Linked DNA regions of Rhinolophus ferrumequinum. The protein of the gene in region 1 interacts with the protein of each later gene in a pairwise test. Links are inferred from orthologs where the notes say so. Each region holds a gene or a part of one and is shown in the gene's direction. Other genes may lie near its edges.

What was found. The genes of interacting proteins can lie anywhere in the genome.
Region 2: the proteins of PSME3 (region 1) and EAF2 interact in binary tests that used the Homo sapiens proteins (3 or more experiments, as listed by UniProt). The two-hybrid records come from large-scale screens. The link is inferred for Rhinolophus ferrumequinum from reciprocal best matches to the Homo sapiens genes PSME3 and EAF2.
Region 3: the proteins of PSME3 (region 1) and TNFAIP8L1 interact in binary tests that used the Homo sapiens proteins (3 or more experiments, as listed by UniProt). The two-hybrid records come from large-scale screens. The link is inferred for Rhinolophus ferrumequinum from reciprocal best matches to the Homo sapiens genes PSME3 and TNFAIP8L1.

Annotation. Positions count from the first base shown.
Region 1 is NC_046304.1:38,472,070-38,479,535, forward strand, and holds the start of PSME3 (proteasome activator complex subunit 3), read left to right. Parts: upstream 1-4,381; 5' UTR 4,382-4,609; coding exon 4,610-4,651; intron 4,652-5,328; coding exon 5,329-5,361; intron 5,362-5,459; coding exon 5,460-5,522; intron 5,523-5,713; coding exon 5,714-5,818; intron 5,819-6,730; coding exon 6,731-6,779; intron 6,780-7,324; coding exon 7,325-7,437; intron 7,438-7,466. UniProt on the Homo sapiens protein: Subunit of the 11S REG-gamma (also called PA28-gamma) proteasome regulator, a doughnut-shaped homoheptamer which associates with the proteasome. 11S REG-gamma activates the trypsin-like catalytic subunit of the proteasome but inhibits the chymotrypsin-like and postglutamyl-preferring (PGPH) subunits.
Region 2 is NC_046285.1:46,765,449-46,773,390, forward strand, and holds the start of EAF2 (ELL-associated factor 2), read left to right. Parts: upstream 1-4,895; 5' UTR 4,896-4,971; coding exon 4,972-5,068; intron 5,069-7,942. UniProt on the Homo sapiens protein: Acts as a transcriptional transactivator of TCEA1 elongation activity. Acts as a transcriptional transactivator of ELL and ELL2 elongation activities. Potent inducer of apoptosis in prostatic and non-prostatic cell lines.
Region 3 is NC_046301.1:59,152,996-59,160,652, reverse strand, and holds the start of TNFAIP8L1 (tumor necrosis factor alpha-induced protein 8-like protein 1), read left to right. Parts: upstream 1-4,610; 5' UTR 4,611-4,697; intron 4,698-5,878; exon of another isoform or gene 5,879-5,962; intron 5,963-7,657. UniProt on the Homo sapiens protein: Acts as a negative regulator of mTOR activity.

The DNA of each region.
Region 1 (7,466 bases):
GCCACACAGCAGCCTACCCGTCTGTCCCCATGTACCTGCCCCTAAAGAAAGGAGAGTCTGTGAGCCAGATCCTTTCAGGGACTTTGCTTCACCTTTGTGCTTGCACCTTATGTCTCCCTGTTTGGCCCCAAAAAGATGGCTCGTCAGCCAATGATGAGTAAGATTCCCCATGGGGGGGGTGCGGGGGGCGGACAACTGAAGCCAGGCGCAGTCGAGTGGGGACCAACAGGAGAACCCACGGGGTTCATAGAGGAGGGCACATCCCCTACCCCCCCCCCCCCCCCACGGAGAGCCTCTGCCTCTGTGGCTGCATTCCTTCCCACAACCTGCAAGGGAAGAGATTCAATGGTGTGCTCTCCATCTATTCATATGCATAAAGATTTTGTCCCTTGGGGAAGTACATACTTCCTGAGACTTAAAGTTCAGCTGCCTGCAGGCAGGGGTGATTGGCTTGAATCAGTTTCCTGCTGTGATGTGTGGGATTCACAGATCTTGAGATTGACAAGCTTTATCTCCTTTACTTCCCCACCTAAGTAATAAAAACTAGGCGTTTGCCCCATTCGGGGCCCAGTCCTTGAGGCTGGAGTTCCTTGGCCACACTTACACTCTATTCATGGCTAGTCTTTTCTTAACCCTGCGCCACCCTCCTCGCTCCCCACAACCCTCGTCGACAGTTGTCAGTTGAGGCTATTGTGAATAGTGGTGTTATTAACATTCTTGTTTGTGTTCTTGGTGAATATATTTATGCATTTCTGTTGGGTATGTTTCTAGAGTTCGGATTTCTGAGTCACATATATATATAGAAATATGTATCTATATATTTATTGTTTTAGTAGATACTACCATAACTATGGTTGACATATTAAAAGATAATTTGGGTGTGAGCAGAGAATAGAATGTATCAGTGGGGGTGGTGGCAAGAGTGAAAATGGAGACTCGATTGTCCATTGTAATAGTGTTAGCAAAGGATGACAATGGCTTTGAGTAGGATAACAAGTGAGGAGATGGAGAAAAGCATACTCATACAGGATTCATTATACAGGTAAAGCTCACAGGAACTGCTAATGGTTGAATGTGGGGAGATGAGGAAAAGAGAGGAATCAAGGTTGATAATTAGATGTCTGAGTAACTAGGTGGACAGTCATGTCAGTTACTGAGATGGGAAAGAGCAGGAAAGAAAGAGGTATGTGGGAGAACTGAGAATTCTGTTTTGGCCATATTAAGTTTGAGATGCCCATTAGCTATCCAAGTAGAGATGTCAAGTAGACAACTGGAGCTGTTAGATGTAAGGAATGGAGAAATAAATTTAGGACCACCAGCCTACAGGTGTTGAGTACTGAAAGATTCAAGAAAGATGGAGAAGTGACCCCTGGTGCTGTCAATATGGAAGTCATTGGTAACCTAACCAGAACTATCTCAGTGATAACATGGAATGGGAACGCCTGATTGGAGTGGAGTAAATGGGAGATGAGGAAGTAGCATGAGACAATAGTATCATTCAAGAAGTCTTGCCATAAAGCAGAGCACAGAAACAGAGTGATAGCGAGAGGAATCTGTGTTCAAGGGAGGGTTTTTCTCAAGATGGGAGATATTTATCATGTTTGGATGAGGTCCAGTTGACAGAGATAAATGTAATACAGGAAAAATGGGTAATCACTGAAGCACAGATCTTGAGAAAGTGAAAGGGGATGTGTTCCAACGCACAAAATGAAGAGTTGGTTTTTTTGATGGGAATGGGATGTTTCCTTCAACGAGAGGAGGAAAGGCAGAAAGCATTTGCAGGCTGGCAGATTTGGTGGTGAAATGCAGTGCTCATTTGCTTCTGTTTTCTCAGTGAAGAATAAGTCAAGACCATAAATTGGAGGTGGGAGAGGAGGGCTATTGGAGGTTTAGGGCGATGAGAAGTTATGATAGACATTCAGAGTGCGGAAGAGTAAACTTGTCAGAGGCATGTAGTAGGATCTCGGGTAGTGTTGTGCACCCATTTGAGATTTGTGGACATGAATTTAAAGTGAGACCAGTTCTCAGTGATCACGTTTGATTCATAAGTACCCAGAAATGAACAGAATTTGTTACATATAGCGGTGCCTTCAGCAATTGTTTATTCAACTGAATAAATAAACAAACGAGTAGAGTATTATATAAAACATTTGGATAAGGGAGGAGGTAGGGAAAGAGAGAAGGAATGTGTGTCTTATTACAACCTACTTGAAGAAGACAAAACACAATTATCTGAGAACAAAGCCATATTTCAACAAGCACAAACAGTAAGTTTTCAAGTTGAAGTTATTAATGCTGAAAGAAATGCAGGATAATGGCATACTTAAAATAGGGTGAAGTTAATTTGGGAAAGCATTCCTGAGGTTCCAGATCAGAATTTAAAAATTACTAGGGACAAGTGTTATAGAAAAAAGAGGAAAAAGGGGAAAACGTTAGATGTTAATAAGCCACATAGGTAATAATGGCTATGTTGTATGTAGCCTTGAACAACTGGAAAAGCACTTTTGAGTCTGAAAGCAGGGATGATAATTATATAGTTTAAGGGGTAACCTCTTCATGCTAAGCATTAACAGGTAACTTATCTGATAATGGCTACTATGTATCTAGTACCTGCCTTGTGTCCTGGTACTGCACTAGTTCTTTTACATATGTATGATTTCCAACACGACAACCTTAAAGAATTACACATTATTTATTAATGATTGAAATTCCACTTGACAGATGAGGGAACTGACACTCAGCATTTCAGTAATTTTACCAAGCCATCACAATTAGTAAAGAGCTGAGGTGGGATTTGAAGCCATGTCTCTCGGATCCCAAAGGACATAGTCAGTTGCACTTCATTTAACTATGTATTCCCACCATTTCCCTGGCACTTAGCACAGAGGCCTGCCCAGGATAAATGTTCGGCAGCAACGGTGACCCCAAAATGTAAATCAGATGACCTGACCTGCCTTTGCACTTAATCCCAATTGTTTCCTAATAACCCTCCCCACCCCCTTCTCCCTACTATCCCAAGTTCACTAGTTTTTCCATTTCTTCAATAGGACCCTTTTCAAGTATTTGCCTGTGCTGCACATATACCCTTGAAGGCTCATCCGCTCACTCTTCCCACGCTAACCCCTTTATATCCTTTAGACCTCAGCATCATTGTCACTTCATCTGAGAGGCCTTCCTTGGCCATTCTATCTAAAATAGACCCCTGGTATATTTTCTACATCAGTCATTTGTTTCCTAACGCTTACCAAATTTTGTAATTATGTCGTCAGTTTACTTTCTGGTGTCCTTCCCCAGGATTAAGCCCCATGAGACCGGAGAACTTGAGTTTTGTTTACCTTTGATTTCCCAGAGCTGTGCTGTTCAATACACAAGGCACTAGTCACATATGGCTATTCAGTACTGCAAATGTGGCACTTCTGAATTGAGATGCGCAATGAAGTATAAAATTCATACCAGATTTCAAAAGACTCAGTATCAAAAAAGAATGTACATTATCTCATTAATAGTTTTATGTTGATTACACCTTGAAATGATATTTGGATAAATTGGATTAAACATGATTACAATTAATTTCACTTGTTTACTTTTTAGTGTGGTTCCTAGAAAATTTTAACTTACATAAGTGACTCACGTTAAATTTCTAGACTCTAAGGCAGTATTGTCCCAGAGCCTAGCAGTGTCCTGGCCCATTTTATTGAGCGGAGTAATCAATGTTAAGAGACAGACCGAATGAATGGGTGAGTGAAGAGACAGAGTTTCTGCCTTCCTCTAGGAAAATGGATACAGGATTGTCCTAGAAGTCAGGAGACCAGGGTATCTGGTCCAGGATTTACTGGAATCACTGTGTAGCCTACACGACTCCGGGTGTCAATTTGCTCACGAGGCAGTTGATTTCAGAGGTCTGAAAGTGTATGAGAATAAGTGGCGGAGGAAGGTGGGGAAGCCTGGTACAACACAGCTCGTCTTCTGCTTGGCTCTAGCCTAGCCTAACACTAGAGCTAAGGCTAACGAGAGGCGGCAGCAGGAATCACAGGCGAGACCCCGCGAAGCCAGCGCCGGGACCGCCGGCTTCCTGGGTCTGACGTCACTGGGGCGCGACGGCGTCGTCGGTCCTGCCCTCGAAGAGGCAGCGGCTAAGGTCTCTTCGATGAAGACGAGTGCCGGGCTAACGGAGAGTCAAACAGTTCCCGAGTCTCTCTGAGACTCAATTCTCAGTAAATCAGTCTCCACCACCCTTCCTCTTACTGCCCCCTTACCAGGCACAAGATCCCGGGAGATGTAAGCCGGGCGGGAGAGTCCAGCACCTACCTTCAGCGCGGCTGCGCAGAGCACGTGCGCATCCTCCCCGGAGTCCCGGCTATTGGCTGTGACGTAACTTCCGTCGTGAGCAGCGAAAGCCGGGAGGGCGAGCAAGAGGGAGCAGGCAGCAGGCAGCTGGCCCCAGGCAGGCGGGCAGACGGCAGAGGGGGGGAGCGAGCGAACAGTGAGTGAGCCAGCGAGGGCGGACGCGTCCCAAGAGCAGCCGAGATTCCTCCCGTCTCTCTGACCCCCTCCCCGGAGCCCACAGCGCCTCCGGTCTCCAGCGGAGCGGACACGGCCCGGCCCGGCCATGGCCTCGCTGCTGAAGGTGGATCAGGAAGTAAAGCTCAAGGTAGCGGCACCGGTCTGGGCCTCCGTACCCCTTGCTTCGATCCCCGAGCAATCTGACCGGCTCCCCACACCCCGTGGCGTCTTTGTCTCTCTGGGGACACCAGCTCTGAGCTTCCGCTAGGCTCAGCCCAGCCCCCCACTCCCGAGATGGCTTCGGGGGAGAGGATAATATAGGGTGGCCCTCAGTACCTCGTTTGGTGATGGAGAGCCCCGGGGAGACTTCCGCAGACACGTGGTCGACTCAGTGCTTTATGCTAGTGACAGCTGGATGTTCCCAGCCCGCAACATCCCCGCCTCCGGAGGCCGCCGCTGCCCCTGCCATTGGCGTCAGTCCTACATCATGTCATAGGCTGGGGCTGGATGGGGGTTGGCACGTTTATGAGTTCACACCTCCCCTATCTACTTGTCTTTTGTCTGCTCTCAAACTCAGACAGCCTCAGACACAGGGAGGGAGGGAGGGAAGACCGGCAGGTGTTGACCTCAAGCCCTGCTTCCCTCTCCTGAGATGGAGAAATGGGTCCTCAAAAAAATAAAGTATTTGCAATCTGGGGGCCTCGCAGCTTCTCATTACAATAACAAGGTGAGGGAAAGACAGCTAGATTTGGGTTTCCCTACCCAGCCCATACCTCTTGCCAGGTACCGACTTTCTGTTACTGAATTGCTCTTTGTTAATTTTAGGTTGATTCTTTCAGGGAGCGGATCACAAGTGAGGTGAGTGAAATAAATAGAATAATTGGGAGTTTCCCAAAGGAGAGATGACTAGAGAGAGACCATCCCACAATTATTAATGTATTTTCCCTCATCTTTAGGCAGAAGACTTGGTGGCAAATTTTTTCCCAAAGAAGTTGTTAGAACTTGATAGTTTTTTGAAGGTGAGAGACCTTTTTCTTTTCTGCAGATTCCCCAATTATTTTGGCCCTGGTCCTTCTGTCAAATGGGACAAATCATGTATTGATTCTGTTTGCTTTGTACTGTAAAGCTCTCTCATTTCTTGCCCTTCACGTTCTTTGTTCATCTTGAAAAGACTAATGTTTTTTTTGGGGGGTGGGCTTCTCTCTTTTAGGAACAAATCCTAAACATCCATGACCTAACTCAGATCCACTCAGATATGAATCTCCCCGTCCCTGACCCCATTCTTCTCACCAATAGCCATGATGGACTGGACGGTGTAAGTGTCCTATATTTATCTTTGTGTTCTGAAGCAATAGATTTTCTGTCCTCTATTTCTTGGTCAGTTTGAACATGTACAAAGGAGACAGTGGGATTTGGATCTGGGAATGAGGACTTTCACAGACATGATGACTCCAATACACCCCCTTTAGACCCTGATTTTCATTTATAGCATGGGGTGAATTTGCTAATGCTACTCTGTGTTAGCGTGAGTTTCAAGTAGGACTGATAGCTACCGGTTCCCTCAGGTTATCTGGTCTGTCCTCATGGCTCTAAGCAAGACTTTGTATCTGTTTCAATGTCTTGAGTCTTGTTATGGGATCAGTAGTTTTTTTTGGTGTATAACTGTAGTCACTATCTTTACTGTACATCTTTAGTGCCTAGTCTTTATCAGTTAGTTATATGTCCACATTCTGTAACACCGATGACACTGTATTGTTCTTTGTCTGCATTTTTGTCTCACTGGTAGGACTTGCAATTCTGGAAAGCAGAAACTGACTTAATCATCTTTGTATCCCCAGCACTTAGCATTGTTCCTAGTACATAGCAGGGGCTAAATACGTGTTCGTTGATTATTATGTTTCCTTGTGGAACCAGCAGATTTGTACATATTCCCTTAATTTTATTTACCCTACATTGACTAGTTATTTTTTCCTATTGTTTATAGTATCCACCCATCTCCTCTAATTTCTTAATATGGTAATATTTCTTGAAAGGTTGGTTTTACCAGTGAGAACGTAAGTTGCTTTGCGGCAAGAACCTTTTCTTAAAGCCTTGTATATGCTTAGTAAGTTGTACCTAAATTAATAACTGTGGCGTCACAGAAAGGATTAAACTTGCTTGAAGAGTAACTTGTGATAGGCATGTAAGTGTTGCGAGCAGCCTAATTCCTGTCTCTTTACATCCTTAGCCCACTTACAAGAAGCGAAGGTTGGATGAGTGTGAAGAGGCCTTGCAAGGTAAGAGCCATCCTGCCTCACCCCACCCACTCCCTGGCTTGCAGCTTTGAGAAGCAGGATGGAGCTGGTGTTCTCCTGGCCTGGAAGCAGGATCTGATTTTATTTCCCAGAGATCCCATTCCCGAGTCTTCCAAACATGGTCATGATTTAGCACTCTCAATCTAATTTTCCGGTAAACGGAGGGTTTGACCTTGAACTGCCAAAGAAGAGAGGTTGAGGGTGGCTACACGTTGCAGATTTTTCACAGAAGTCCCAGTTTGTGTTATTTTTTTCCTTTTCAATTTAATAGTTGGCACATTAAGTCTTTAGAGCATATTTTAATTTCCTTATTCTTCAGACTTTGAGCATACTTGAGACATTCATTTGTTAATCCATACGTTTTCTCTTTTTGATTCTGTTGGTGGTGTCATGGTTTGTAGATAGGGTTGTGACAGATAAAAGGCAGAGGTCATGGCATCTCATGGGCCTGGGGAGAAAGAAAGGTCGGGGGGTGCTATGTCCTGCCCCCCACCCCAATCATTTGGCCTTCTTCATGTCCCTGCCAGGAACCAAGGTGTTTGTGATGCCCAATGGGATGCTAAAAAGCAACCAGCAGCTGGTCGACATTATTGAGAAAGTGAAACCTGAGATCCGGCTGCTGATTGAGAAATGCAACACGGTGAGGCAGAGGCTAGTGACCTATGGGCT
Region 2 (7,942 bases), on another chromosome or scaffold:
TAAGAATGGTTCACTGGGCCTAAACTGTTTGTAAAAAACAATGTGATTTATGCTGAACGACTGCTTTCCTTTCTGAAGTTTGGAATTCTGGTACATGACAGCAGAGGATGCCTACACAACCATCCTCCAATAAAGACTCTAGTCACTAAGTCTCTAGTGAGCTTCCCTGGTAGAGAACACTTCAGTATGTTGTCATAACTCATTGCAGGAGAAATTAAGAATGTCCTATGTGAATCTACTAAGAGAGGACTTTTGGAAGTTTGCACCTGTTTTCCTCTGGATTTCGTCCCATGGTCTTTTCCTTTTGTTGATTTTGCTTTGCATCTTTTCATCACTATAATAAATCACAGCCATGAATATGACTATACCTTAAGAAGTGTGAGCCCTCCTAGCAAATCACTGAACCTGGGGTTGGTCTTGGGGATCCCCAACACACAACTCAGAAACGTTATGTAATTATAAGATAGCCAAAGCTTCTTTATAAATAGCATACTGAATAAAATCAATAATCTTAAAATTAAAAAAATCCACATCCTAATTCAATTTGTTTCTAAAATTACCTTTATAAAAAAGTTTTAAGGTATTCAAAGATCAAAGATATCATATTTTTAAAAAAGTATACTCTTTACTTAGTAATAATTAACAAAAGCTAACATATATTAAGTGTTTACTATGAACTAAGCACTGTGCTAAGTACTTTTATAAGCATTACCATATTTAATCTTCACAACAGGACTACAAGGTAGAGCCTGTAATCATCTCCATTTTACAGATGAGAAAAATCAAGCTTGAAGAATTTAAACTGGACATGGTTCCACCATGATGTGGTAGAGTCAGCATTCAAATCCAGATCAGTCTAACTCCAAAGTCTGTGGTTTTAATTACAATGTTCCTAATATTCCTTCCCATGTAAAACATAAAAACCACAAAACATATTCCAAAATTACCTACTTCTAACTCACTTTTTTAACTATTATTCTTCGTAACTTCCCATCCTTTATATTGAAAAGTTGGCCATAATAAAAGACATCCAAAAAGCATCCCTTATTAGGTAAAATACAAATCATTAAAAAAAAAAAATCTGGAAATATTTTAAAGAAATCCCAGCACATCCTGGCACACAGCAGAGATAAAACTTTCCAAAGGTGTAGCTACAGAGGTATTTTATTCTTTCCGATGGCTGCATTATGCAATGCTTCCTTTGTAAGAGTACGTCAAAACACAGTAGTCCCCCCTTCCTTATCCGCAGTTTCACCTTCCATGGTTTCAGTTACCCACAGTCAACCATGTTCCAAAAATATTAAATAGAAAATTCCAGAAATAAACAATTCATAATTTTTAAGTTGCAACACCATTCTGAGTAGCATAATGAATTCTTATACTGTCCCTCTCCCTCTTGCTCTGGATGTAATCATCCCTTTTGTCCAGAGTCTCCATGCTTCCTGCCCGTCAGTCACTTACTAGTAGCCTATTCAGTGATTAGATTGACCGGCATGGTACTGCAGTGCTTGTGTTCAAGTAACCTTTATTTTACTTAATAATGGCCCCAAAGCACAAGAGTGGTGATGTTGGCCAATTGAGATATGTCCAAGAGAAGCTGTAAAGTGCTTCCTTTAAGTGAAAAGATGAGTACAGTACAGTAAAATGTTTTGAGAGACCACATTCATATAACATTACAATACATTGTTATAATTGTTCTATTTTATTATTAGTTATTGTTAATCTCTTATTGTACTTAATTTATACATTAAACTTTATCATAGGTATGTATGTATAGGAAAAAATATAGTATACCTATTTAGGGTTCAGCACTATCTATGGTTGCAGGCATACATGGAGGGTCTTGGAATACATCCCCCATCGATAAGGGGAGACTACTGTATATGTAAACATCCTCTCTATTGTAAGTTATTCAGAGTGTATGCTATGATAAACAATGATGCAACGAACAGCAATGTAAAATGTCCTTATGCACACATGCTAGTACTCTGTAGGATCAATTTTCCTGAAAGGTGGATGGCTGGGTTGCAAGATACATATTTTTTAAATTTTGATATGATCCCAAATTTTTCTTCAAAATGGGTGTCCCGATTTATACTTCCACCGATAATGTACAAGGGTGCTCACTTACTATACCTTTACTAATACATCATTATCTTTTATATTTTTGCCAATTTGCTAGATGAAAAATGGTATTATCTTTTTAAATCTGTATTCATTTATTAGGAAGGTTAGGCACATTTCATATCCACTGCTATTTCTTCTTTTATGTATCTTCTGTTTGTATCCCTCAACTACTTTTCTATTGACTTGTCTTATTCTTTTGCAGAAGCTTTAAGAACACTTTATCTTTTATATTGACTGTAAGCCACTTTCTTCTTGTCTGCCATTTATTTTTCAAAGTTTGATTATGGTGCCTACACCATAGTTTTACAATTTTTATGTAGGCAAGTATAACAATCTTCCCCTCTATGGCTTCTGCCATTGGTGTCATGCTTAGAAAGGTCCTACTTACCTCAAGAGCTAAAATTTATTCTCCTAATTTTTCCTAGTGTTTTATGGTTCTGTTTTATTTATATCTTATTTAACTTATATCTTTATTTATGTCTTCAATACACTTGTAAGATATTTTTGTGAATGGTGTAAGATAGGAATCTAAAATTTTTAAGTTAGATGAGGTTATAGATTAGTGAAAAAAGAACAAATGCACATAGCTGTCATAAATTCCTGAGGTAATTAATGATGAATAGATATAACAGAAGCAATCTGAAGTGCCACCTGGGTATATTTTTGGATTCTATTTAGTTCATTAATCTATTTGCTTATTCCTAGGCTAGTACACATTTTAATACATGTTTGAAAAAGTTCACACTAAAAGGTAAGCTTCATGAAGGCGAAACTCAGACTACCCTTGATGGCTGCCTTCTTCTCTCTGGTTCACTGCTATATCCCCATAGGCTAGACTAGTGCCTGCATACGGTAGGTAGGTACTTAATAAATATATGTTGAAAAAAATGAATAAATGTACAAACTTTGGGTATTCCTAAACTCAATTTCTTGACCTTCTGCTCTTCTTCTTGTTATAAAATGTAAACCACAGATTTCTGGTAGGAAGCCTTGTTTAGGTAAAATAGGCTTAAAACATTGTCCTTGCCTTCTGGGTACCACAATAAAACATCACTGAAACATTATTATCATCACCAAACATGTGTGGAGCACTATGGTAGATGCAATGGTCACAAAGATTTTATATAGGACACACTCCCTGTTAATGGTCTGGTTGGGAAGGAAAAGTATACACACACACAAATATGTATATGTAAAATAAAATACTTAATTATACAAAATATGTTAGGCCAAATAGATGACACAGAAGTTAAGACTACAGACCATAGAGTCAGAGGATTGGGCTTCCTTGAACCAGTTTTCTCATCTGTAAAGTAAACAAAAAAGCAATTCCTACTTCCTAGATAATAGAATAATTCAAGATTTAGAATAAAAGGCAGGCACCAAGGATGGTCCTAAAATGTTGCATGACAGTAGAGTTAAAACTCAAGAATAATAACCATTTGGAGAGCTTTTATTATATGCCATGAATTGTTTTAAATGCTTTTATGTATTAACTCATTTAATTCAACGACTCTAAGGTGTAAGTACTATTATTATTTCCCTTCCAATTACAACTGATGAGCATACTTAACTTTGGTTTGCACAATGTCATACTATAAAATATGAAGCGGGAGTTCAAACCCAAAGATTCTTGCTCCAGAATCTGAGCGCTTAACTGCCCCATGAAACACCCTTAGTACGCCTTAAAAGGGTCGAATTTGAACAAGCAGGTTACGGGAGACACATTCATCTACCTGCCTGGAATAAATTGGTAAGTTTGGCTAAAGTAGAAGTTCAGTAAGGGAGAAGAGTTTGATTACATAATTATGCTGAAAAACAACCACCCGTTATGGTAACCATTTGTAAACTTCCTTTAGAGTGACTGTCCTCTGATACAACACTTCTCTCATCTTTACCATTAAACTCATGAATTTTTGACAGGAAAAAAATACAATTATTTTTCAATTACTAATACTATTACCCTGTTTTCCAGAGCACGAGCTCCGGCCTTGATACTTTGGGAATCTGGTCTTCTGGCCGTGTAGTTACTGCTTCCACGGATCACTGTGAAAGAAAGAAATAAGACAACACAATGCAATCTAGTTGCAACTGATCCTAAACATGTGAAGTTCGTAACTTCTAATCTTTTTTGCCCCACCCTCCACGTGCCCTGACCTTGTCGGTCCTAATAGTACCTGGAACTTCCCCTAGAACAGGTCTGAAAACGATTGCCTAGGTAACGGCGTCACCTTCCAGGCAGGTCCAAAGACCCAGGCTCTGAGGCCGCGGGGCTCCTGTACTCCGGATTCTAGGCCCAGCTTTGGCGCTACCAGGCCTTGGACCCAGAATCCGCTCCTCCCCCGGCCTCAGTTTCCACACTAGATCTCCACAGAAAGCGTGAAGTAGGCCGATTCTCCCGGTAAGAGCTCCTACATTCCAGGTCACTTGGCCCAGAGGTGCGGGATCCCGGCCTCTTGGTACCTCGAGGCCGTCTCAGTCCCCAGCCACCACCTCAGGTCCGTTACCTCATTCTCGCACAGCGTTCCTCCACCAAGGAACCCTTCTCCCACCACGCACCTCAGTTGCGCGGCGTTCTCCCCGCGGCCAGCGTCGCAACGCGGGAAGGGGCGTGGAGGCGGGACCACGAGCTCGGAGCCAAGGGGCGGGGCGTCCTTCTCCAGCCAGCCAATCAGCACGCGAGAGGCGCCCGGTGGGGGAGCGCGCGTTGGGCGGCGGGGCGGAGTCTGTCGTAGCTCCGCCCGCTGCTGCTAATGCAGCTGGTTTAGGCTGAGGTGGCAGAAGGTAGGGAGCGCTAGTTGACGGAGGAAGAGTCGGAGGCGAAATCGGAGCCGAAGGATAACCATGAATGGACCCTGGCATATCGACAGTCGCGAGCGGGTTCTCAAGTTAGGCGCCAGTTTTGAGAAGCAACCGCGCTGCGCCTTCCACACTGTGCGCTGTGAGTGTGGACATCCCGGTGGAAAAGGGGGAGCTCTGGGTGTGGGTGTGTGGAGGCACAAAAGTCTCCGAGTTGTATTCCCATCGACCCACCTTATTCTGCGGGAGAATAGGGTCCCCAGCGCGATCCACTACCGGACCTGGAGTCCTAGGGGGTCGATGGAAAAAGCCGGAGTTGAGCAGGTGTGGGTAAAACCCTGACAGAGAGATATAAGTGAAACCAGCAGGAAGAAAGGGAAACTTTGTGGAGATCTCCAAGGGTGACTGAAGACAGTAGTAACTGATGGATGATGCAGAGGTGGAAAGGAAAATAGTAAGGTGCCAAATGGAAGGGAGCAAAGGACGGAGCCGTTATGCAGGGGAAAGGAAATGCCTTGAGGCTGATGGGGAAATAGTGTCTCCTTCACTTTTTCTGTGTCTGGCTAATGAGGGTTCTTACTTAGCGCGTTCCTAGGGAGAGATTCTAAACTATTTCAATAATCTGTATCTCTTTTGGACCCCTGATTTCACTCAGTAAATTAGCAAATATTGATTATCAAAGTATTGGAGGGTGTGTTATTGATTTCCTTATTGGAAAGATATTTACCTCCCTATGATTTCTCCCTTTGATTTCCTTTTGGTCGTCCTCTGGAATGAGTTTTGATAAATTATGCACTTTTATGTTGTTGAGGTAGAAAAGGGAGGTCTTTTGCTTTAATGGTTGGATGGTATACACTACAGGAAGGAAAAGTATAGCATATTATGATTTGGTATGTAAAACATTCATTCTTTGCATGATAGCCCTCATAAAATTATAGAGTGGAAAGGAAACTTTGAGATCATTGAATCATAACCTATTTTTTCTATGGCAAAATTAGTAAAGTAAGTATTTTTTCACTTTCTTTCACCAGTTCTGCCCTTCCTTAGTGTCTCATCATTCCACTTTTCTTACAGTTATTCTGTCCTCAGACCGTATACAGGTCTTTATTGTTTTATCCTGAAGTATTCCATGCGTCAACTGAAACTTACAACCCCCAAAAGTTTACTTAAGTTCTAGACAATCTAATTATAGTAACTCACAGTAAAGGTATGAAGAACCAATAGATTTCTAACATTCCAAGGATGTCCCAGAGGTTCCAAAAAAATTTATACAAGTGGACAAGTTGTTCAACGTTGCTCAAGCAGAACTTCGCCATAATCAGAAGTGACTGGATGGTGATGGTAACCACTTTGAGCACCTCTTGTAATTGCAGAAGTCACACGTGACTTGTATTCATCTTTTGTTATCAGTATAAAGTATTACAATTTTAATAGTTTTCCTTTCTTAAAATGTGTATACATTTTTTGGCACCCTCTGTATTTACATTTTATAAAGGGATTTATTAAGCAAAATTAATATCCAATTGATAGAATAAATGGAGGAGATATTTGCAAGCAGAAGATCTTAAACAGTGACCCTTGATTATTCTTTTTCTCTCTACTCTGTTGTCCAAAGCTCCCCATAGTGAGATACCTAGTGCTGGCTATGCAGTTTCTTTCCTTCTTCAGTCCCATTTTATAAAAGTGTATTATAGTTCTTAGCTGGTTTCTCCCTGCCTTTCTCTCAAATATTATCTCCTCTCCTCTTTCTTTTTTTTTTTTTAATCAGGTATGCAGTAGTCTTAATTTTTCAAATTACAAGGTTTAAGATTATAAAAATTTGCTCAAAATATGTTTTTATGTAACTTGGGTATATACTCTCTTTAAGGCCATGAACCCCAAATTAAGTGAATAAAAGGAGCCTTTGAAAAGCACTTTGCAGGTGCTTTAGAGCTTTTCATTTATAAAAGTTCTCAAAATGCAGGAATTGTGTCTTCAGAATCAGATGATCCATCTACAAGAATGAAAATAAACAAAAATAAAACAATAACAACCACAATAAACCCAGATCTTTGAATATACTCTTAGTCCTGTGGAAGACATTAGAACAGTTTTCAGCCCTTAGTTTTATTCTTGTTGAAGCAGGCAAACTCTTTTTAGATTTATTTAAACAAAACCAGCCATTATTCTTGATAATAGGTTCATTTCTCATATCCTCACTCTTAAGGATGCAGTGAGGGAAAGAAACTATAGAATGGGAGATCTGACTTTGATACAGAGCAGGTGCATAAACGTCAGTGTAATCTGGGAGAAAGGAACATTCTGTCTTTATGTACAGGGGTAATTATACCAGTCCAATATGCTGAGGCTTTGGAAAAACTTGTGAGTTCTGGCCTCTACTATACATGTAATGTAACTTTGGGAACATTCTCTAAGCCCTCAGCCTCGGGTTTTTTAATATGTAAAATGATAATATTAATATCTAAATTTCAGGGTCTTTTAAGGATTAAATAAAGTAGCATAAACAACCTAGCACATTATTTGGTGCATGGCAGAAAATAAATAGTAGGAACCATTATTCTTGAAGGTTTATTCATGTGTCTATTAGGAATGCCAATTAATGTAATTTACTAAGACTTTCAAAAGCATTTATCAGGCCTTAGCAATAAAACCTATCAAAAAAATAATCTGCATGTGGTAAGGAAGACATGGGATGTTCTGTAAATGATAAGCTAAATGCTTTGCAGCAGATGTTTCACTGGGTAGAAGAGTTTGAGTAACAGGACTCACCGAATAAATTTTGGATTTGGGCTAGTACTAGTTTTACAATTTATATCCAGATAAGGGAATAAACATTGAAATTTCTAAATTTTGTAAATGATACCACTTTTTGCTGTCACAAAATGATGAGTTCATGGGCATTAACTATACGGAGATGGTCTGAGGCATCAAGTGCAGCCACTCCCCCCAAAAAACGGTTGTTAAGCTTTGGTGTTAGAAAATATTAGCAAGTACACTAATGGAAAATAGGATTAAA
Region 3 (7,657 bases), on another chromosome or scaffold:
ATCAGAAGACACACTATTCCCTGTCAGCCCCAGAGCCTCCTAACCTCTGCACCTTTGCTCCTGCCAGAGTGCCTTTATTCACTTCAGCCCTTTCACGTGTCTTTATGCCTCCTTCCCACAGCCTGGGAGCTCCTGAGGGCAGGGAACAACAACAACAACAAAATCACAAAATAATATTAACCAGTCCTCATGCTGGGCACTCCTGATGGGTTAACACTCTCCTGCAGCCCCTCAGCCAGTCTTTGCAACTGCCCCTTAAGGTGGATATCATGAGTCTGATTTAAAGATGAAGAAACACAGGTTCAGAGTGGACCTGTGATTTGCCCAAGGTCAGCAAACCAAGAATAAAAAGGACCCTCCTTCCTGCTTCTTCCCATGGTTGACTCCTGCTCTTTCTTAAAGTCTTCGTTCAGTTGTCACCTCCCCCTGGAAGCCTCCCTGGGCCCCCAGGTGTGGTCACGTGCCTAGTCTGAGCTCCCACAGCCGCCTGCGTGTTCCCCATCATGGCCCTAAAGCGGCTGCCGGTGCATGTGTGCCAGGCCTCTGCTGAGCCCACTGTGTCCTCAGAGTTGGACAAATCTCTGAATCTGGTGCTGTGACTGCACCCATCTTATAGATGAAGCAACTGAGGCTCCATCCAGAAAGTGGAGATTCCTTCTGCCAGGAATGACATGGGGCTCCCTACCCTCAGGGCAGCAGCAGATAAGGCTAAAACCCTCCCCAGCCACACCCCCCCCACATACACGTGTGCACACAGATTCACACCAGGAGTTTCTGTGCGCAGACGCCCACCTCTCCCATGCAGGCAGCCAGCCAGCCGGCGTCTGCAGGGCTGACCCTTGTAAATACATCCTCCCGCTGGGGCCAACTTGCTGCTTCCCTCAGCGGGAAGGGAGGTGTGTGTGTGTGTGTGTGTGTGTGTGTACAACGGAGGCAGAGGACTGAATTTGTTTTAGGAGCTTCCCGCCTACCTTCCTTCTGCCTCCCTGTCTGGGGGGGTGTCGCCCGCCAGGGCCCTGTGACCCTAACCTCAAGTCCATTACCTTGAGACGATGCCAGTCCCCCACCCTCGGGGCCCTTGGTATAGTTACGAGAGCCCTCCAGGCTTGGCCTGCAGTGGGGACGCCAGCAAGTTTCGTCCCTTCATCCTGTCCCCGTCTGGGCCCGCCCACCCACTCTCCTTCTTAAATGGCCTTGGGAGGATCTCGCCTGATAGACAAGATGGGCTGGGGAGAGGTGGATCACGGGTACGTGGGAGTTACGCCTGAGCTTAAGGCATGGGAGGCGGGTGTTCTGGTCACCGCCACCACCAGTCCCCCAAACCGCCTGGGCAGTGGGTAAGCGGGCAAGCGAGGGGTTCGCGGAGGCTCCTGGAGAAAAGGCTTTCTCTTTCCTCATCTTCCTCCCCACCACCGAAATCCCATTGCGCACGGCAGAGGCCCAGAGAAGGGGGTCATTTGCTCTGTGTCACACAGCTCGGTGGGGTGTAAGGTCTGTAATCAGGGATGCAGGTGACGCTTGGTGGTTCTGGGGTGACTTGGACCTGGCACCCTAAGCCGCACTCAGATCCCGCCCGGCGGGGCGACACATTCAGAAAATAGAAGGCGCTGCCCGCCCGCCTGTGAGCAGAGTATGCCCCCTGCCGGTCACGGCCGGAATCGGCGCAGCCACGACCTCGGGGACCAGGATCCAGCCCCCACACCTGCTAAGCTCCCACTCGGGATAGAGCCTCCGGCTCCAGGCTGAGCCCCAATTCCGAGCTGCGCCTCTGTTCCTCACTGGGCTCAGGAGCCCCTCAGCTCCCTGGACAGCTGGGGCAACCCCACTCAGACTGTCCCAGGTTCTAATATCACCTCTGTTGCGACCTGGCTGAGTGGCCTGGGACAGGTCACTTGCTTCCTCTGAGCCTCAATTTCATCATCTGTGAAGTGGAACACTTGTAATCCCAGGGTTACACTGTGACGACTCAGTAAGTTAATTTATGTAAAAACTGCCAGCTGGTCAAGCCTTTCTCAAACGGCATCACTGAGAAAGTGTAAAAATGCTAACAGAGGATTCAGTGAGTCAATTTATGTAAAATGCTAACGGTGACTGCCACGTATTAGGCGCTCAATAAATACTAGTTATCACATTGTTGCTATTATCACCAGATGTGCTGCTGGGCACTTGAAAAAAAACCAACCAGGTTTATTGAGACATAATTCACCCATTCAATCCACTCAGTTAAAGTATACAATTCAGTGTTTTGGTATATTAAATTACTCATTTCTAAAATTGTGGTAAATATGTAACATGAAGTCTACCACTTTAACCATTTCTAAGCACACAGCTCAGTGGCATTAAGCACATTCACACTGCTGTATCACCATCACCACCATCAATCTCCAGAACTTTCTCATCTTCCCAAACTGAACCTCTGTCCCCATGAAACACTAAGTCCCCACGTACCCCTCCCCCAGCCCTTGGCTCCCACCATCTACTTCCTGTCCCTATGAATCCGACTCCTCTAGGGACCTTATATAAGTAGAATCACACAGTATTTGTCCTTTTGTGTCTGGTTTATTTCACTGAGCATAATGTCCTCAAGGTTAATCCATGTTGTACCATGTGTGTCAGAATTTCCTTCCTTCTTAGGTCTGAATAATAATATTCCATTGTCTGGATGGACCACACCGTGTTCACCCATCATCTGTGGATGGCACTTGGGTCGCTTCCACCTCCTAGCTGTTGTGACGCTGCTGTCAACATTGCTGTACAAATATGTTTGAGTCCCTGTTTCCACTCCATTGGGTGGATAGATACCTAGGAGTGGAATTGCTGGGTTCTGTGGTAATTCTATGAGCAGCTTTCTGAGGAACCCCTGAACTTTTCCACAGAGGTGGAACCAATTTATATTCCCACCATCAACGTTCAAAGGTTCTAATTCCTTCACATCCTCACGGGCACTTTTTCTTCATTGCCTTATTTGTGGATCTGTAGGGTTTATTATTCCTGTCACAGGTGTGGAAAACAGGCTCGGAGAGATGAACACACGCAGGCAGATACGGACAACGCCAGGATGGAACCCGCCCGGGCCACACTCCACGCCTGCCCATGCCCACCGGGCACTCACCAGAACAATCTGCTCTGGTGTGACGAGGTGTTAAAAACAGCTTCCTCCGCCTCTGTGACCCTCATTAGCTACCATCATCCAAATAAGAGGTCTCCATAATTTGGGGCTCGGGGGCAGGAAGAAATGGATCTATAACAGTAGGTCTCAACTGGGGCAATTCTGCTTCCCAGGGAATACTTGGCAATGGCTAGAGACATTTTTGGTTGTTCTGACTTGGGGTGGGGGTGGCTACTCGGGCATTGAGTGGGTGGAGGCCAGGGACGTTGCTCAACACCCCACAGTACACAGGACGCCCCTCTTACCCCACAAGCAGGAATTACCAGCCCCAAGGGTCAACAGTGCTGAGGATGAGAAACCCTGGACTAGAGAGAGTAGGACGCAGCTGTGGGTGGAAGGAGGTGGGCCAAGCAGTCCTGGGTTTGAATCCTGGCCCTGCCATTTGTGCTGCATATCCCCAGGCAATTCACTTCACCTCTCTGGGCCTCAGTTCCCCCTCCAAAATGGGATAAAGAGACATTTCATTTATTTTTGCCTTCTGAGGTCTGTGCCAGGGTTGTGTGTCCCCCACACGCAGGACAGGACTAGGCATTGACCAAACATTTGTTGTCTAGCCTGCTCTGGCCTTCCCTGGCTCTAGCTGCAACTGGGACCCCCAGGTTGGGGTTGCGGGGAGGAAACGGAGCGGCAGGGGGGCTGGGAGCCGCTCCTGGGCCCGGTTCCCAGGACTCACAGCTGCATCCTCTGGGGGGGGGGGGTGCCCAGCTGGCCCCGCGGCCCCACCCGCTGGCGGCCAGGAGGCTTATTCCCACGGAAATTGAGGATGGATCTGGGATTTCCCTGGTGGGGTCTCCAGGGCCTGTCCACTTAACGACTGCCTCAAAACCTCATCCTAAGAATTTATCAGCAGCCAAGAAAGATTGATCTTCAACTCTGGGTCAGATTCAGCGCGTCCGGGGGTAGCGGAATCTGCATTTTTAAGGGGCTTCTGATGTAAAGCGTTCCCAGGCGTACTTTAAGAAACAAGCTCTGCGCAAATTCCTGTTACTCAGGTGGGTAAACTGAGTCCCAGAGGGAATCGGGGGCCGGTCCAAAACCGCAAAGTTGGTCTGTTTTTCTTTTTGGCTCAGCCTTCCTCTCTTCTCCCGGGTCTCTGTTTTCGACTCTGTCTTTTTCCTCCCCTTTTCTCAGCGGGGCCCCCAAAGCAGCCGCGCCCCCAGCATCCGGCCCCTTCCGATATTCCGGAGGAATCCCCCAAGCCGCCTGCCCGTCCCAGGCCCCGCCCCCTCCCGTGGCAATGAGCTCCTCCCATTGGCTTCTTCGTACACCGCCCGCCCTACCATTGGCTGAGACCATGTCTTCGGCCCACCCCCTCACCATCCGGTTTCTCTTAGGTCCTTTCTTCGTGGGAGGGGGCAGAGCGGGGGGGCGTGGCCCTGTGGGGGCGGGGCGATGTGGGGCGGGGTTGAGTTTCCCGCTCCGCCCCGCGCGGTTATTAGGCGCAAGTCAGGAGGCTGGCTCAACGGCCCCTCGAAGGCGGCGGGACGGAGCCTCGGAGGTCGGACCTACGACGGGCCCCGGAGAGCAGGTGACAGAGCGATGCCTGGTGCACCTCGGGTGCCACCTAGCCGCCCACTGTCTCTCTCCCGCCCCCCCATTCCCCTGCAAACCCCACTCCCTCCCCATCCCTGTCTGAATTCCTGCCTGAATTTCCTTCTCCCTCTTCCTGGCCCTCGCCCTCTGTTTCTCCCTTTCCCTCTGTGTCTATGGCACTCTCTTGCTGTATGGGTTATGGGGAGGCACAGTGAGTCTGAAATGCCCTCCCCCCGGCGTGGGGCGGTTTTCTGGGACCACTGCCCCCACCCCACCATGAGGACTCGGATGGACTCTGCTCCTTGCATCGTGCAGGGCGCCAAGTGCTAGGGCAGATTCCAGAGTCAGGAGGGCATTTCAGGTGGTGGGCAGCCTGGCCAAAGGTGTGGAGGTGGAAATGAGTGTGGCTTCCCGCTGGTCCAGGCTGTTGGGAGAGCCAAGGCCAAGCCCACCCAGACTGGCCATCTGGGAGTTTCCCAGTGGCCTGAAGCCTTGGCCTCAATTTTTCCAGCTGTGAACTGGGACTGTCACCCGCTAAGGTAATTGGTGGGTGAGCGGTCCCATATCTGCAAACATCACTACCTCTTCTATTCTGGGGGCCCTCTGGAGGGGGTGCAGCCCCATATGTAAACAGGCCTCTTGAATATGTCTGAGCCCAGCTGAGGAAGGTGAAGGCCCTGAGGGGCTGCGGCTGAGTGAGGGTAGTTTGGCAAGTGGTTGGGAGGTCAGATTTTGAAATTAGACAAACCTGGGTTCCCGCTCTGCCACTCACCATGGTACCTTGAACGGATGATTGGATTCTCCCAGCCTCAGCTTCCAGTCTGTATAATGGGGTGGGACATAACTCCCTGGGGATAAGGGCTGCTTCCAGGGTTAAATGCAGGTATGTGGGTCCTGCTTGTCTCCTCCTGGCCCCCAACTCCTCCTACTCTCCCCCTCACTCACTCTGCTCTAGCTGCAGCAGCCTCCACATTCACACACCAGGCATGGTCTTGCCTCAGGGCCTTTGCACAGGCTGTTTCCTCCATTGCCATGCCAGGCCCATAGGCGCCAACTTTAAAACATAACAACTTGCTGAGGTGGGCCGGGCCAAGGGAATGCCAGGCAAGGGCTGGGTGGCTGGGAGGGGCGGAGGAGGGGCCAGCCCAGGGACGCTGTACCTATGGAAACCGGAACAAAGAGCTGTGCCTCAGCCACACAAACACCTGGGCTGTGCTTCTATCACTTAGCAGTTCTGGTGGCCTGGGACTCCAGTGGTGGGTGAGTCCCCAGATCCCTGGGGGGCAGGTGTGGGACTCTACCCTGCTCTGATGGGGGTGGGGTGGGGTCGGGTGGGGGGACAGGACAGTAGGTCCCTAAGCTAAGAGATTAGTCAGGTAGGTGCAGATTTGAAGCCCTGTGCTGTCCCCTACTGCTGTGTGGCCTTGAGTATGTCAGGTGTTCCCTGAGCCTCAGTTTTCTCATCTGAGGCCTGGGCAGGTGAGGGGCCTTTTGGTTACTTGGCATTCTGAGGAAGTGGGTTCAGGGGTCTTCAAGTGTCCTTGTCTGTCAAATGGGGTCACGAGAAGATGCCTAGGACAAAACTCCAGCTGTTGGCATGGAAACAGCCTTCTCCCAAAGTCAGATGCTGAATAATGATTCATGCTTGTCTGGGTGCAGCCCCAGGTGTTAAGGATGGAGAGGTGGGGGCCCAGAGCTGGCAGGACTTGGCCCAGGTGCACAGTATGCACACCTCCCTTGGGATCCTCTACACCCCATCCACAAGACAACTTCCTCTGGAATCCCACCCTCCTGAGCTTTCACAGAGGCAGCTCTGGCTGAGTTCTTGAGATCTTCTGAAGCCCTGTTCTCCAGGCTTCAGTTTCCCCTTCTGTCCAGTGGGGTGGTAGAGGTTGGGGAATGTCCACTTGGGGGAGCCCCACCCCCAGAGGGTCTGGTGCTGCTGTGCTAGCTACTATGTCACCTTGGGATATCTCAGTCTCTCTCTGGACCTGTTTCCCTGACTAAACAGTGGCGTCCTTGAAGGCGATCTCTCTGCCCCTCTGGTACTGAGAGATCGTTTATTCATTCAACAAACAAGTTCTGAGTACCTACTGTGAGCCAAGATTGGGGGTTGGGAGAGAGCCATTCATCCAGAAAAATCATTATACTTAATTGCAACTGCATGAAGATGATGGAGAGTCAGATGGATGGGGAAGTTAGTTTAAATGGGTGTTCTGGGAGGGCCTCCTGAGCAGACTTTTGAGCTGAGGCCTGAATGAGAGCAAAGAAACAGCCATGTGGATACCTGGGGGGACGGGCATTCCATGCGAGGGGAGGGCGCGGGCGAAGCAGAGTGAGCAAGTGCGACAGGGAGGAAGTGAGGGCAGGCAGGGGACAGGGCAGGTCGTGCAGGGCCTCGTGGAGGATTTGGGCTTTAACCCAGAGGATGGTGGAGACGCTGGAGGGCTGTGGGCAAAGGAGGGGTGGGACCTGACTCAGGTGCTCAGAGGCGCCCTCTCGTGGCTGCTGCGGGGAGGACAGACATGAGGGACTAGGGGACGAGGGCGGAGGCAGTGGAGAGGTGAGAAGTGGGTGCAGCCAGGACTCATTTAGGGGTGCACCCCTATTCTGCCATGTGACCCTGAAGCCTCCACTTGCTGTTAAAAATCTTTTGCTGAGCCTGAGTCCCAGTCTGTCCTGTCCTTCCCTCCATGGGGTTGGGCAGTTTTCTCCCAACATTCATGTTTGGCCCCCAAACTTTCTTCAGTGGAAATCTCACAACAGTTGAAAGTGTCCTGCCTTCCACTGCAGCCTGCAGGTGGTCAGACCCTGCCCGTCCTAGGGGTGGCCCCCAAGGGCTCTGGGAAACCCACTCTGAGAACCGCTGGTGTCTCCCCCTCCTTTGGCAAGTAGATGCCCCTTTCCCTTTGGCCATATCTAAAATGGGCACTGACTGAGCCATCTGAGTGGTGG